Linked DNA regions of Kluyveromyces lactis. Each later gene encodes a partner of the first gene's protein in a complex. Links are inferred from orthologs where the notes say so. Each region holds a gene or a part of one and is shown on either strand. Other genes may lie near its edges. The genes, in order: ASK1 and DAD2.

The links.
Region 2: the proteins of ASK1 (region 1) and DAD2 are in contact, whole or in part, in a cryo-EM structure (PDB 8Q84), measured with the Saccharomyces cerevisiae proteins. The link is inferred for Kluyveromyces lactis from reciprocal best matches to the Saccharomyces cerevisiae genes ASK1 and DAD2. Residues at the interface, in NP_012872.2 of Saccharomyces cerevisiae: Lys6, Glu7, Thr9, Leu10, Leu13, Asp14, Glu16, Ile17, Asn20, Leu21, Lys23, Ile24, Asn27, Leu28, Phe30, Cys31, Lys34, Ile35, Asp38, Ile39, His42, Tyr46, Ile49, Arg52, Ile53, Ser56, Thr57, Trp59; in NP_013009.1 of Saccharomyces cerevisiae: Ile4, Asp5, Ile8, Lys11, Arg12, Glu14, Leu15, Leu18, Gln19, Ile21, Thr22, Thr25, Asp26, Leu28, Lys29, Leu32, Thr33, Leu35, Asn36, Ile39, Lys40, Met42, Gly43, Ala46, Asp47, Val49, Ala50, Met53, Asn54, Trp56.

What each region holds. Positions count from the first base shown.
Region 1 is NC_006039.1:1,070,491-1,077,858, forward strand, and holds ASK1 (Ask1p), read left to right. Parts: upstream 1-2,972; coding exon 2,973-3,629; downstream 3,630-7,368. Other genes in the region: LPX2 (Lpx2p), read left to right, coding at 1-767; SFK1 (Sfk1p), read right to left, coding at 1,152-2,078; MDM35 (Mdm35p), read left to right, coding at 3,880-4,134; DNA damage-responsive RNA polymerase-degradation factor DEF1, read left to right, coding at 5,058-6,995; OAR1 (3-oxoacyl-[acyl-carrier-protein] reductase (NADPH)), read left to right, coding at 7,296-7,368. UniProt on the Saccharomyces cerevisiae protein: Component of the DASH complex that connects microtubules with kinetochores and couples microtubule depolymerisation to chromosome movement; it is involved in retrieving kinetochores to the spindle poles before their re-orientation on the spindle in early mitosis and allows microtubule depolymerization to pull chromosomes apart and resist detachment during anaphase.
Region 2 is NC_006037.1:698,045-705,372, forward strand, and holds DAD2 (Dad2p), read left to right. Parts: upstream 1-4,001; coding exon 4,002-4,400; downstream 4,401-7,328. Other genes in the region: UFE1 (Ufe1p), read right to left, coding at 1-134; CDC21 (thymidylate synthase), read left to right, coding at 582-1,520; SGO1 (Sgo1p), read right to left, coding at 1,681-3,465; NUP133 (Nup133p), read right to left, coding at 4,489-7,328. UniProt on the Saccharomyces cerevisiae protein: Component of the DASH complex that connects microtubules with kinetochores and couples microtubule depolymerisation to chromosome movement; it is involved in retrieving kinetochores to the spindle poles before their re-orientation on the spindle in early mitosis and allows microtubule depolymerization to pull chromosomes apart and resist detachment during anaphase.

The DNA.
Region 1 (7,368 bases):
AAGCAAAGGAAGAAGCCAAGGTTTCCAGTGAAGAAGCAAGGGTCAAGCAATTGGAAGTAGATGCGATAATTAACGAACGTCAAACTGAACTATCAAACACCGAAATTGAAGTAAAGAGGGAAAAACTTAAATTAATTGACGCTATGAAAGAAGTTGCTGAAGTAAAGAATGAGGATAAAATTGACGAAGAAAAGGCCAAGGCTTTCCTGGGAACAACATCTGGAGAATTCCTTGCTAGCCAAAAAAAAGTTGAGCCAGCAACTAAATTGCAATCTGACCCAAAGTTATCAGAACCTTCTTCAAAAAGTACCAAAATTGAAGGTGTTACTGGAAATGTTAAAGCGGATGTCCCTGCCTCTCCACCTGCTCACAAAAAGCATTCAATTGGAGGATTAACCTCTCCATTGAAATCAAAGAAAAAATCTGATAAGGACCAGAAAGGATCTTCTATCAAGAAATTTTTTGGTTTGAAGCCATCTGATCAAAATAAGAATACAAAGACCACGCAACCAACTCCTCTTAAAAGTTCCCCAAAGCCTTCTAATAAACCAGTAACGGCAACTGTCACAACCGAAAAGAAGGAAAATGTTGAACCGAAATCTACAGCAACAGAAACCAAACCTTCACTGGAACCATCATTTAGTGGCTTTAGTCAAGGCTCCGTTCATAATAAAGTCGAACAGTCAGATGCTTCTGAAGTAGAAGGTGGAAAAGAAGAGCCTACTTCCAAGGACAACAGAAAGTCCTTGTTCAAAGAAGTATTTTGATTTGAGCTGTGAACATGGTCTGCTCACATTTTTTTATACTATTGAACTCTAAAACCAATTCATCACGTATATCAAAAAGTTCTTTTTATTGATTGATCTTTTAATTACAGTGTCAGAATGATTCAACTCTTCATAATTTGAAGCCATTTCAAAGTAACAAACCGTTATGTATCACTATGAACTTTATTTTTTTCTCTATCTCATAACACTTTTTAAAATTCCCAGAAGCCTGGTAATTTATTCTGTTCTGTTTATTCTATCTATAATATACTCTATTTTTTGTAAAGTTCTAACTAGTATTATCATTATGCTATATTTCAGAATATCCTTCCGAGTAGTTTATATTTACAACTTCATTAATAATTTCTTGAGAAACTAAGTGAGTTATAGTGCGTTCAACTGATTGTACTTGTAATAGTTCAAATTCTCCGTAATTGTGATTTGATGGAAATACTTGGACTGGGTATATCTTCCGCCAATATACCAGTCAACAGAGACAATAATGAAATATAATCCGAACCAAAATGCCAATAGCCATTCAAAACAGGCAGTCGTTGATCTATCTTCTAAGCATGCAAAACAAATAGCCCAAACGAAAGCAGCTATTACCCAAAATGCCTTTAGTAAGCCACTGATAGTATACTTGTTCCAAACATGGCCGTGCCATTCATTCCACCTTGTGTCTTTGCCGATATCTTCACTACTTGTAAGAGGATGGACGACAGCGTAGTGTCTGCCCATTGTCATATATTGTGCGACATGACAAATTACACTCAATCCGACAAATGCACAGAATATACCCACCATGGAACTGTGCACCCTAGGATACGTGTTTGTTGAGAAGATAGTGCACATAAGCAAAGCCAATTCACCTATACTTCCTAGTACGAATGAGGCCCATACTAGATTCCGTTCATGTTTGGTAAAAAATGGAGGCATGACATATTTCTTCTGAATTAAAGCTTCGATGTAGTTCGATTCCATTATAGAGCTATCGTTAGATTTTTCTAAGTCATCATGATAAGTATACGGTAACTTGAAAGGCCAATGACCAGATCTTTGAAAATACTCTAGAGCAACCATGATTACGTATCCTAGACCTTGCCATGCCGCACAAGAAATAAACAACGGTTTTAAATTGGTCGCACCAATATGGGATATATAAACCGGGAACTGGTCTGTATGCATGAACCAATAAATGGGATGACCTTGTCCTGCCCAACATGCCAACATCGCAATTAGCATCCCATACCATGGAATGAAAGCTATCCAGGGAAAGATAAACCAGTAGTTACCTGGACGTGGAAACATATTAGTATAGTCTTGCGGTTTACGTTTATACCTGTATCAAATCCAATCCTTATGAGAATGTCTACCAGTGATATTCTTTAAAGGAATGAGCTATGTTGACCTTGTCCCGTCAAATTCGGCTGGTATAATATACTCATTCTTTTCCTTATATATCTAAAACCCGACTTCCACGAATAAAAAACAATATAAACTATATTTGACATATTTATATATATATGCTTTTATATGGCATGGCTTGTGTATGGCACTGCAGTGATGCTGTCACTGATGCCTTAAATTACAACTTGCTATTCACTGAATGTAACTGTCAATCGGCTCGATGATACACTAGCTTGAGACACCCTGCGCGATTTCTGGGCGCTTTGTTGCGATATTTGCTCCAGTAAAAAAAAAAGGTTTTCTTTCGATGCTTTACTAATAGGTTTCGAGGCTTAAGAGCAAGGATGGATAACGTAATGGATGATATCTAATTTTCCACTCCGAGTAGGCAGAGCCTTCTAAGCCATTGATACCCTTGAATAGCAGACGTGACCGGTGTCCTTGAATCAGTACGTATTATGTAGTTTAGTTTATACTTTCAGCTTGGAAATATCGTAAGCCTCATCCGAATCAGCCTAGCGCTTCTTCGTTGATCTGCAGAAAGTTACCTTGGCATTGCAGAGACTTTCTTTATGTCATTTCAAATTTCTTCTTAGAGTTACAAGAGGAAATATGAATTTGACCAAAAAGTCAACAAACCGGTTTGACAGAAAGGATTTGGATTTGGAAGTGTAAATAGTGACGGTTACAGGTAACAGGACGCGGTGTCCGTTGTTATAAATATTACAGTAAACAAGGAAAAGGACGCAATTAGTCTGTGCCAATTAGCTAACACTAGGTTTCCTGTTTTACATCATGGATGCAGTGAATATTGAACAAATAGATCAAGAGATCACGTTAAATTTACAATCAATCGATTCAGACCTCTCGTACTGTTTCAACAAGATAACAAAGGATATAATACCGTACGTGACGCGATATGGACAGACTTGTGAAGATATCACGAATTCTAGTTCGTGGCTGAAAGAAATGTTTCAGCAGAGTGCTAATGTTCAGTTGGTGACGGATCAGGCTGTGGAATCTGCGGGTCAGGTTTTGGAGCCCCGGACTTCCTTATTTCCAGAGGTAGAAAACGAAACTGATGAGTTCCATACAGTCGATCAATACCCTGCTTTATCTCAAACCGGAGTAAGTTCCGCTGGTGCCCCCACCACGAAAACAGGAGGATCGGTAAAACAGGATCAATTTCAAGATCAGGATACCGATGAGTTGACTCAGGATAGTGCAATGGAAAAACAGAGGAAGAAGAGAAAAGTTTCGTTACAAATTCACCAACATTTCAATTCGTCGTCATCTTCTAATTCTTCAATGGAGAATGATATCTCTGCAAACAGTTCCCCAATAAAGACGATCCCCCCGGAAACAGAAACTGGGACAGAAACACATAACAAAATCCAGGGCGAATTGGCCAAGCCGGGAACCGTTATTCATTTTAACAGCAAACGCGATTGAAGCTCTGTCTTAGCCTTCCCCCACTCACTTCTATATCATAGTGTGTGAGGTATACATTGTTACTCAGGGTTCCAGATCCTATGACCTGAACGAACAATCACGTGATATAATACTTTCCTTTTTAGTTTCATGCTTCTATAGCTTCGTTTTCAATCGGATTTCTACATGGTGAATTTGACATTCTGATTATGTGCGATGCAGAGACTAAGTGAGTATTCATATACGATACAAGATACGCCACAAAACTACCATGGGTAACGTGATGAGTGCAAGTTTCGCTACAGAGTGTACACCTTTGAAGGGTAAGTACGATAAATGTTTTAACGACTGGTACAGCGAGAAATTTTTGAAAGGTGAGTCAATTGAAAACGAATGCCAAACCGAATGGTACGAATATATGGAATGTGTCCAAGCTAGCTTGGTGAAACAAGGCATAAAACCAGCTCTAGATGAAGCACGTAAGGAAGCACCATTCGAGAATGACGGAAAACCTGTAGAGCCTTGAATTGCGGACCAAAGAAACGCATACATACCTGCGCCATTCGCTATGATGAATCTAAGTATAAAATAAATTAAAATGGGTTTCATTTGAAACCTCTGTAAATAGAGAATACAATACAATACCTAGCGCGTATTTTTGACCACAGTAGGGTTAACATTACCAGGAGTTTCGACTGAAGTTGTACCACCGCTACGTGATTATACCTTAATCCTTTCTCCACCGTAAGTCAGGGCAACGTTCGTCCTTTGTGATATCTGCTGTGCAACTCTCTTAATTGGGGTAGCCTTCAGAGACACCTACATAATTCTGCATATAATAATTCAAACATATCACCTAAATAACTAAAGCACAAGAAGGTCCAGTATAATGACTGCTGTCATATTCTTGTAGAACTTCGTGCCAGCTCCATCTCACTGTTTCTATCTCCTCATTGCAGTACTAGAATAGAATATTCTGATTACCCTCCCTCCTTTTTTACCCTATTGCCACCAATAGAAAAATTGAAATAAGAACATTTTCGATAAAAGTAAAATTTGATTTCGAAAGATCTGGGAAAATAGGAAACAAATATTGTTAAGTTAGATAGCTTAATACTCCAGAGAAAGAGTTCAAGGATTGAAACGGCGTTTAAGAGTTCCATTTTTGTAACGATACCTATCTCGCGTGCTTTTCTTGTTGCGAGCAGATACTAAAATTGTACTTTTTTTGGAAAGAAATTATACTCAACATTTTCCAATAAAGCATTATAAAAAATTTGCATACTTGCTTAAACTTCTAAGATTAACAACAAGCAATCAGAACTACTTCAAGAGAACTACTACTACTCACGCAATCCAATTACAGATTATTACAATAACGATCGCCTTCCCTCTTTTGCTAGCAATAATTTAGGTTCGCACAGTTTTTATCAATAGAAATAATCCCGGATGTCACAATTTAAGAGAAACGCCAGTTCGAAGAAACTGGACTCTGAGACTAAATATAAGCTTGAGACGCTATCAGAATTGTTCCCAGATTGGACAAATGATGATTTAATTGATTTAGTCCGTGAATATGATGATCTAGAAACCATAGTTGATAAGATAACTACTGGAGCAGTGACAAAATGGGACGAAGTGAAGAAACCATCTAAAAAGGAAAAGCCTGCATCGCATATAGAACACCAATCTCATAGTTCTCATCAACAGCTGCAACAACAAGCCGCATCACACCTGGACCCTGAAGATTCTCCTTCTCTAATAAATCAACATCATTCGCATCAAAGACAATCTAGATCCACCTCTAAGTTCAGTAATAACAGCGCCAATGGCAAATCAGTGCAACAAAGACAGCAACACCAGTCAAATAATAAAGATAACAAGAAGCAGCCTTCAAAGGATAGTTTGAAGCCTGCTCCATTACCATCTAAATCTAACGCTGGTAATAACGCGGGGTCTTGGGCCGCCGTATTGGCAGAAAAGAAAAAGGCTCATGAAAAGAAGATTGACCATACAAAGTCGTCTAATACAATTGCACATGAATCTACTAATGAACAATCTGAATCTAATGAACATACCGAACCAACTGAAGTTGAAGTTGCACCTGCCCAGCCTGTTGACTCTGCACCAGAATCTGTCAGCCATCAACATGCGCCAGAATCTGAATCAATCGCCACCACAAACGGTGATTCTAAGCCAAAGAGTTGGGCTGACATTGCAAGCGCAAAGAGCAGACAAAGACAACTACAGCAACAGAACAAGAAGCAACAACAGCAACAAAAATCTAAGCCATTGGACAACTTTGATGCTTTGAAGGAAGAAGTTGATCAGTTGTCTTCTGAGCAAACGGAGAATGGAAACCACGCTATTTCTCAAGAACCAGAACAACAGCAACAACCATATGCTCAACAGTCTACATTTGAGGAACCTGCCCAACAAGAGGAAGAAGTCGTAGCGGAAACTACCGAACAACAACAATCACAGCAGCCACAACAGGAAGAGCCTGCTCAACCAGAAGTTTCTCAAGTTCAAGAAACTGCCCCTGTATCTTTGCCAGAGGAAACCAATGCTGCTAATGGTGTCTCTAACATCCAGTTCGGTTCTGAAGACAAGGCTGCTCAACAAACTCTTGCATCTCAAAACTATTACCAACAACAACCAAACCAACAATATGCTCCACAACAAGTCCCACAATCTGCAGCAGCTGCAGCAGCAGCTCAAGCTCAAGCTCAACAATACTACATGTACCAAAACCAATTTGGTTACTCGTACCCAGGTATGTTCGATAACCAATCTTACTTGGGCTACGGCCAACAATTTGGTGCCCCACAAGTTCCTCAAGGCCAAGTTCAACCAGGTCAACAAGCACAACCAGGCCAGCAACCAGCTGCTGGTTCTCCAAACGCTCAACAAGGTCAAACAGCTTCAGCTTATGGTGCCCCATCTGGTACTGGTTATCAATCTCAAGAGGTTCCACAGCAATCCCCAGCTCAGCAACATGTCCAACCTCAACAATACAGCGGTTACGGTATGCCATACATGTACTACCAACAATCTTTCCCATACGGTCAACCACAATATGGCATGGCTGGTCAATACCCATACCAAATGCCAAAGGCTGGATACAACTACTACCCACCTCAGCCCCAATCTCAACAACAAGGTGGTCAAGCCCAAGGCTCAACTCAATCCCAAGTTGAAGAGGAACAAGCTAATGGTCAACAAGGTGGTGCCAATGCTAATGCTGCCAATGCATCTCAACAGTACCAGCAATACTATCAATATCAACAAGCTCAAACTCAACCACAACAACAAGCTCAGCAAGGTATGCCTTACGGTTATTCCTCGTATGACTACTCCTCTCAAACTTCAAGAGGTTTCTACTAAAAGGTATAAACTTCTTCAAGAGATATTATTGTAAGCTGCAATGATTTCATACTTATTATATTTGGGACCCCGGGCGATTCTAAGATGTTGGCTCACGTGATTTGTTGATACTACATGAATACCAACAAGGCTTTCATTTATTATTTACATCGGAATGTTTAGATTCGTAAATAGTTTTCCTTAACATTAAAGAAAAATTCAAAACCGTTTACATGGCAAATGTCCGATACGTAATAAGACTGTTAGAATATACCCACTTCAGTTTCAAATTTTTGTAGGCAAGCTGGTAAACTGTACTCAATGAAGCAAAACCTTGTTTCCATTGTGAGTGGAGCAACCAGAGGAATAGGGTCCAAGATCCGAGATGAGCTGT
Region 2 (7,328 bases), on another chromosome or scaffold:
CTAAACTTTTCCTTCACCTTTTCTCTATCCTCTCTCGCTTTCGTATTATTCAATTCGTTCCTAGCATCATCAATTCCCTGAGTCTCTGCAATCACTTGCATGTACTTTTTGAAGAGCTCAGTTCTATTACTCATATTAAGGTAGTCACTTTCTTTGTATATATTCTTTTTGACACTTACTCAACATAGAAAAGCTTGAACAAGGAACGCTTATAGTCCCAGATTAGATAGGGTAAACACACACGATAGTTGCCTCTAATTGGACAGTTAATAGACAGTATAATTACCAGTAGAACGGTACCTCCTTAACCAAAGTAACCTTTGGTTAAATTTGATTCGCATTCGTTTGCCAGACCAAAGCTTCATCGAGGATGGAATTAAGAATTTAGGTAGCACGTGACATTGTTTCACCATCATTACCCGGCCATTGAAAAATTCCCACAACACGAAAACGCGTTAAGAATCAGACTACGGCTTTTAAGAGTTAAAGGCCATCTCTAGTTTAAACTCTATCTTACTTCAACCATCCTTCGACTCCTTTGGCGTTTTATCGGATCATTAAACAACCAACATTTGTCAACCATGACGCTGAGCGATGAAAACGTGAAGAGAGTTAAGCTTGAGGCTGTTAACGCGGAAGAACAGCAGTATTTGGATTTATGTGAAAGGATTATCAATGAGGGAGAATTCAGACCAGATAGAACTGGTACAGGGACTTATTCCCTTTTTGCGCCTCCACAGTTACGGTTTAATTTGAGCAATGATACTTTCCCGCTTCTCACTACGAAGAGAGTGTTTACGAAAGGTATTATTTTGGAGCTCTTATGGTTTGTTGCTGGATGTACAGACGGGAAGAAATTATCAGAACAAGGCGTTAAGATATGGGAAGGTAACGGTTCTCGTGAGTACCTGGACTCACTTGGGTTGACTGACAGAAGAGAGGGGGATTTAGGACCAGTTTACGGGTTCCAATGGAGACATTTTGGGGCCGAATATAAGACATGTGATGATGATTATAGTGGTCAAGGTGTTGATCAGTTGAAGGAGATTATTCATAAGTTGAAGACAAATCCATACGACAGAAGAATAATTCTTTCTGCATGGAACCCTCCGGATTTCCCCAAGATGGCTTTACCGCCATGCCATGTTTTCTCGCAATTTTACGTCAGTTTCCCCAAGGGAGAAGGTGCCAAACCAAGATTGTCATGTGTACTTTATCAGAGATCATGTGATATGGGTCTAGGAGTACCCTTTAACATCGCGTCGTATGCGCTACTGACGAAGATGATTGCTATGGTCTGTGATATGGAACCTGGTGAATTTATTCACACTTTGGGTGATGCGCATGTTTATAAAGATCATGTTGATGCATTAAGGACACAAATTGCCAGAGAGCCAAGAGCTTTCCCAAAATTGAAGATAAAGAGAAATGTCAGTGATATCGACGATTTCAAATACGAAGACTTCGAAATAACTGACTATAACCCTCATGGGAAGATTCAAATGAAGATGAGCGTTTGAGGATCATGGATAATTGGTATCATTTGTCTATCTAATGTATGTACTTAATATTATCTATATCATGCTCAAATACCGGAAAAAAAAAAAGATTCATATGATATGTGCCATATGCTGGTATCGAATGTTGGTATGGGACGGGTTGAATGCTGAGGTAGTTCTATCATATGCTTATTTCGTCATTATGAATTCTTTTACGTTTTTTGTTCATGTCTTCTTTTGCTCTGACACGATGTGTCCTGGATACATGTTTCAGAGAAATTCCATCTATAATTTCAAATGCTGCTAGATCTGAAGTAGCCTGTTTAGTTCTTGTCGGTTTCACGTTGCTATTTTCATTTTCATCAGATACATTTGGATCGGACGAGTTGTTTTCAATAGCTTGTTGCTTTGTGGGCAATGTGTTGAACTTGACATCTTTAAGCACTCGCGATTTAGTGTGGCTTATTGCTTTTACGGCAGTAGATGTTTTAACTTTTCTGTTGATAGCGTTAGCTGATAATTCTTTCAGAGCGATTTTAGGTTTAACGTTTTGTGCAAGGTGAATCTCATGTAATGGTAAAGCCGGTGGTTCCTTTCTGTTCTCTTCTTCCACTGTTGCAATGACGACATTTGTGTCAGGTACGCCAGCAGGCACTAAGAGTTCTTCCTGATCATCGTCATCAGACGGTATTCCCTGTTGTTGGTTATTTCTACGTTTCACTTGTAAATCATGAATATCGGTGACAGTTGTGGCATCCACCAATTTTTCAGTGGGTCTACGCATCTTAGCACGTAGTGATGGGAGTTTATAGTTGACAGCTTTGCCTCTAGTCCTTCTTTCTCGTTTTTCATCATCTTTATCGTAATCTGTGTGGGGCATAATATCATCTTGGCCACCTTTCAGTTTCGTCCTAGGATGTTTCATGGAATGTTTAATTTTCGATTGTGATGGGATTGTGCACTGGACGATATTCATTGAGTCATCAGCCTCATTGTTGTTTGTCTCTTCTCTGTCGTTGTATACATCAATTTTCGATTTCGACGTTTCCAGTAGGATATGTGAATGCTCGTGAGTTGAAGTTTCCTCTGGAATGGAATATTCAATGACTGATGTAGTGAAATTGTAAGAATCATCTTCGGCAAGTGCAGTTTCCATTTCTGTAGTATTATTTTTATTGGTATTGCTACATTCAGTGCCTGTGTTAGTAACAGATGGAAGGACCGGTACCAAAGGTATCGTAGAGACATTCTCTTTTCCCTCGTCTTCACGCTCTTCTTTTGTATGCTTGTTCTCCTGAGACTCTTCCTCAGGTACTGAGGTGGCTGCAGTACTAGGCGGCGGTTCATCCTCAGTTATCGGCAGTTGATTCAGTTCTAGTTCCGGGTCCTCATCGTTAAACTCGAAATCTGCAGGAATGAACAACGACTCTCTCCGTGAACTCTTACGCCTCCTCTTTCTCAGAGGTCGTACCTCATCATCATTCAGCTCGAGACTATTCCCGCTATTTTCATGGTTATCTTCCGCAATTGGATCCTCAAACCCAACTGGTTTCGTTGTGGTATTTGCACCAGTAAACTCCACTTTCTTCGCAGATCTCGGGCTTATACCATTCGAGCCTCTCAAAATCGGTTTAAGAGGGTTATCATGAATACCTGATTCTAAACCCTGGCTCTCCCGTACTGTGGTCAACAATTGGTTCATTTGCAAGAATTTTTCTACAATTCCGTCCTCTAACGTCTGGAAAACAGTATTGAGCTTCTCACGATAGCGCAATTCACCCATAGAAAGCCGCGACCGTAAGGAAACATTCTCTTGCACCAATTCACTCACTTTAGTCTCCATATCAGTGATTTTCATCATAAGACTGGAATTATATTTCGCAAGCTGACTGTTCTGCTGTAAATAAATTCCCTTTTGTTGCTCAAGCATAGCTTGAAATTCATCGTACTGCGAAGAAGCGCTCATGTTGCACTCTCACAAAACTTAGTAACACTATCCGCCGTCAATTCGGGTCCCTATAGACTTAGGAATCGCTCTTCTTTCAGTCAATGAACAGGTTATTTAAACGCTGAATGAGATCTAAAGCTTTGAATGTTTTCATTGTTTACGTTTTGTTCTACGATGTAAACACAAAAAAACAAGATTACCCGGATCATATTTAGTACTACATTTAATTCAAATGAGGTAAGTTGGACATGTAATGGGCAATTTGATGTTATCCAACCCTTCGTTCATTCTAAATAGCGGTGTTAATGCTTAGCGTAGCTTGTATAGATCAATCTCCCCTGATACAAGTCGGTTTTCTCGAGTTTTCTTCCTTTATTTCAATATCGGAATAATATGAAATCACGACTTTGAACTAATCTCTACAATGTGAATTCTTTCAAAGACTAGAAGAACCAAGAATTATCAGCTAAGATAGACACTTCTCGGAGCGAGTTGGATGATATATTCTAGCTGAAGAGTAAGAGGTTTGGGTCACCTGAAAAAAAGTTGTCAGTATGGCATTTGAAACCGAGATCGAGACTAAGAGAAGAGAATTGAATTATTTGAAGCATGTTTCTGCATTGACACAGAAATTAAAGGCTCAATTGGACGAGCTGAGCGTTCAGGTAGCGCAGATGAATAGCAATGCTGTGACTGTTAAAGACGTAATGGCTAATTGGGACTCGGTTCTTCGGTCTATCTCTCAGGCTTCGATATCTTTACTTCAGTATACAGAAAACGACTATGAGACTGGGAAATGGGCCAGTAAAGAGGAACATAGAAACCAACAGGGCGCTGAAGATGAAAGTGCTGCGTCAGAAAGTTCAGAAGATAACCAGCAGCGGCAACAGGATCAATTACCTCCGCTTCCGGAAACTTTGGTACGGGTGAAAGTTGCAGATGACGTTGAATAACGTTTTTATTGAATATATACATATGGTGTATAAACAGGTTTTATACTATGTACAATTAATTGGTGTGGCACCTTCTTCTATTATTGAATTAGAAAGATGTGGGACTTGTCTCGATTGTGTTAGTTGCGTAATTGATGACACATTGGTTACCGGTTTCCTCGTTGATTTCTCCAATGATGGATTGTAACATCGTAACGTCCAAATTCGAATTAGCGAAAAGAGCAACCTCTCGTTTGACGTCGCTAGCTAATTTATTAAGATCGGTTAGTCCATGGTACATGCCATCCAGGTATGAGTCAGTGATCAATTTCTCATTGGCCAAGTTGTCGATGATTGGAAGTTCGATACTTTGATGGTAGAACTGCTGCTTGAAAAAGACCCTTAAAGTTTGTCTAACCGCATTTTCATCGGATAAGAGACACCTTCTCCAGATCTGGTACTCGCAGTACTTTTTTACTTCAGTGGGTAACGTGTGATCAATGGCAAGGATACTCAATGCAAATCCATAAGAAGTATCTTGATTTAATAGTGTGAATAATTCTATCATATGCGGCACTGAGAGAGATTCTCTCCTCTTCACAGCATCGCTCAAATATTTGAACAAAGTTCGATAGGTGGTAAAGTCTTTGAATAGTGGGTTGAGAGTTGATTCTTGTAGTTCTTGGGATAGAAGAATTTGCCCATCGATGAGATCTAATTCGGTTTGAATTTCGTTTAGCTTTTCAAGATCTTGAACTTCCGCGGCAAGAGCTGTTAATTTGGCAATACTCAATTGTGCCTGTCTTTGTTTCAAATCTTGACCCAGCGATTGAGTTCCAGTAGAAATACTCAACAAAGTTGTAGTTGCTTCGTCGTATTTATGGCAATATATGTTTCCAATCCATTTAACTTTGCCATACTCGGGACATTCTCCTAAGAACTGGTCCAAATATTCTGAATGGGTTTCACCAAACGATTCGTAAAGATCATCCCATAGCCCTTCCTTGATATAGTAGGAAAATAAGGATTTTGCAAAGTCGTATCCGTATTTCTGGAAGAATTCATCGTATAGAGAGAATGCGGTAATTTTTGGCAGAGATTGCAAAGTTTCAACTAAGCCTTCAAAGTCTTGGTAAAAATCTGTGATTAGAATTGAATCCTGAGACCTGTTAACATCCCTAAGGACCCTATTCCAAAGTAAATGATTTTCTTCGAAAAACTGTTTATAACTAGAATCAGTAATGGCATTTGCATCAATCCACATGGTTATTTGCCTGACCATATAAAATAGAGACTTAACCAATAGCAGTAATTCCTCTACAAATTCTGACACAACGGCAAGATCTTCAGAGGCATGCCTTAACAAGAAGAAGATGTCATTAAGATTTTCTATTATGCTATTTGTTGTGAACCAAGGGATATTTTTTGATACATCATCTGGGCTCATCTGGAAAAGTCCATACCTGTAGCTGTTTTCACATTCTTCTAATATGGAATGATAAACTAGTTGATTTATAAGCTTTGCGATCTGAGATTTTAACATAGTTTCATTTGTGGATTTCATTAGGTCTTTCAAATGCTTCAAAAAGGCGCCCAATAATTCTGGAATCTTAACAATGCCGTCTGAGATAAAATCAGAATCCGATTGATAGGAACTTTCTGATAGTACTGTCTTCCAAGCTTGTGAAATAGATGTTGGTTGTTGCGGTAGTAAAGAGTACAAGCTTTCCAAACATTTTATCATTTCAAAATCAGAAATCAAGTCCAGTTTGAATTGGGAAGATGTTTGATCCAAAAAATTATGAGCAACAAATGTGAGAAGTCTTTCAAAAAGTTCGCTTCTTATTTTTAAGTGTTTCATGGGGTTGTTAGCAACAGGCGGTATGTGGTTTGATAATGCATATTTAATCTCATCACTGGACATTTGAATATCTGTTTCAATTTCTTGTGGTTGTAGATCTAGATTGTCAGGTAAGTTGAAGTCTAGTAATGAATCCGTTGATTGTCCTCCAAAATAGACGTATTGATCCACATGAGACTTTATGAATCTAATTTCTTGGAAGTCAGAGTTTTCGTATTTTTCAAAAGTCTCCAACTTTAACGCACATGTTCTTCCATCAGTAATGTATAAGGAACTTGAATTACAATCGTACCCAAGAACTTTCATATCTTTGTTAAACCGTATAATGTCCTCCCATTTCCTTTTAAATGGATAATTAGAGTCCAATTTGGAACTTGTTTGAGTTAGGACAGCAGCATCAGAGAATAAAGTGTAAACAGACGTTATCGGTAAATGTTCCTTGGTGTATGCAGTTGGGACTATAAGTCTTGGGGCAAATTCATCTGATAATGGTCGCGTGTATGTGTTTAATCTGTAAGTAGAGAAGATAGCGAAACTGTTAGTATCTTCATCCACAATGATGGTTGATAGTAAATAGTGCGTTTCGTTACTTTCCGCTAAGAAACTCAAGAACAAGTATGCATCCGAGTCTCCTGATAAAGGATGACAATCGAGTAGTTTCAGTGTAGATGTTGCCAAGGGGAAATGCTCTAAGACTGCCTGTGAAATTTCAGACTGTACATTTAAATCGATCTTTTTGTAACAATTCCCAACAGATGAAAGGTTCCACACCTGATATCGCCCGCCCTGGGTTAAAATAGAAACTATTCTTTCTCCTTTACCGCTGATTTCGCCCAATTTGAGAGATACCACTCTCTTTGATTTGGACATGGATGAAAAGATTCCGACTTGACATTTTATTATGGTTTGTTTTAGCGATACAAAAGGTTTCCCGTTAGCATCTCTTATAGTACAAAACTCAACACGCCCGTAATTTGTCGAAAGTAATATTCCAGCTGGTTCTGCATTAATCAAATTCTCTACATATTCACCGTCACGTAGTTTTAAAACTGATTTATGACGTTTGGTTTGCGTCAAGAAACTTGCCA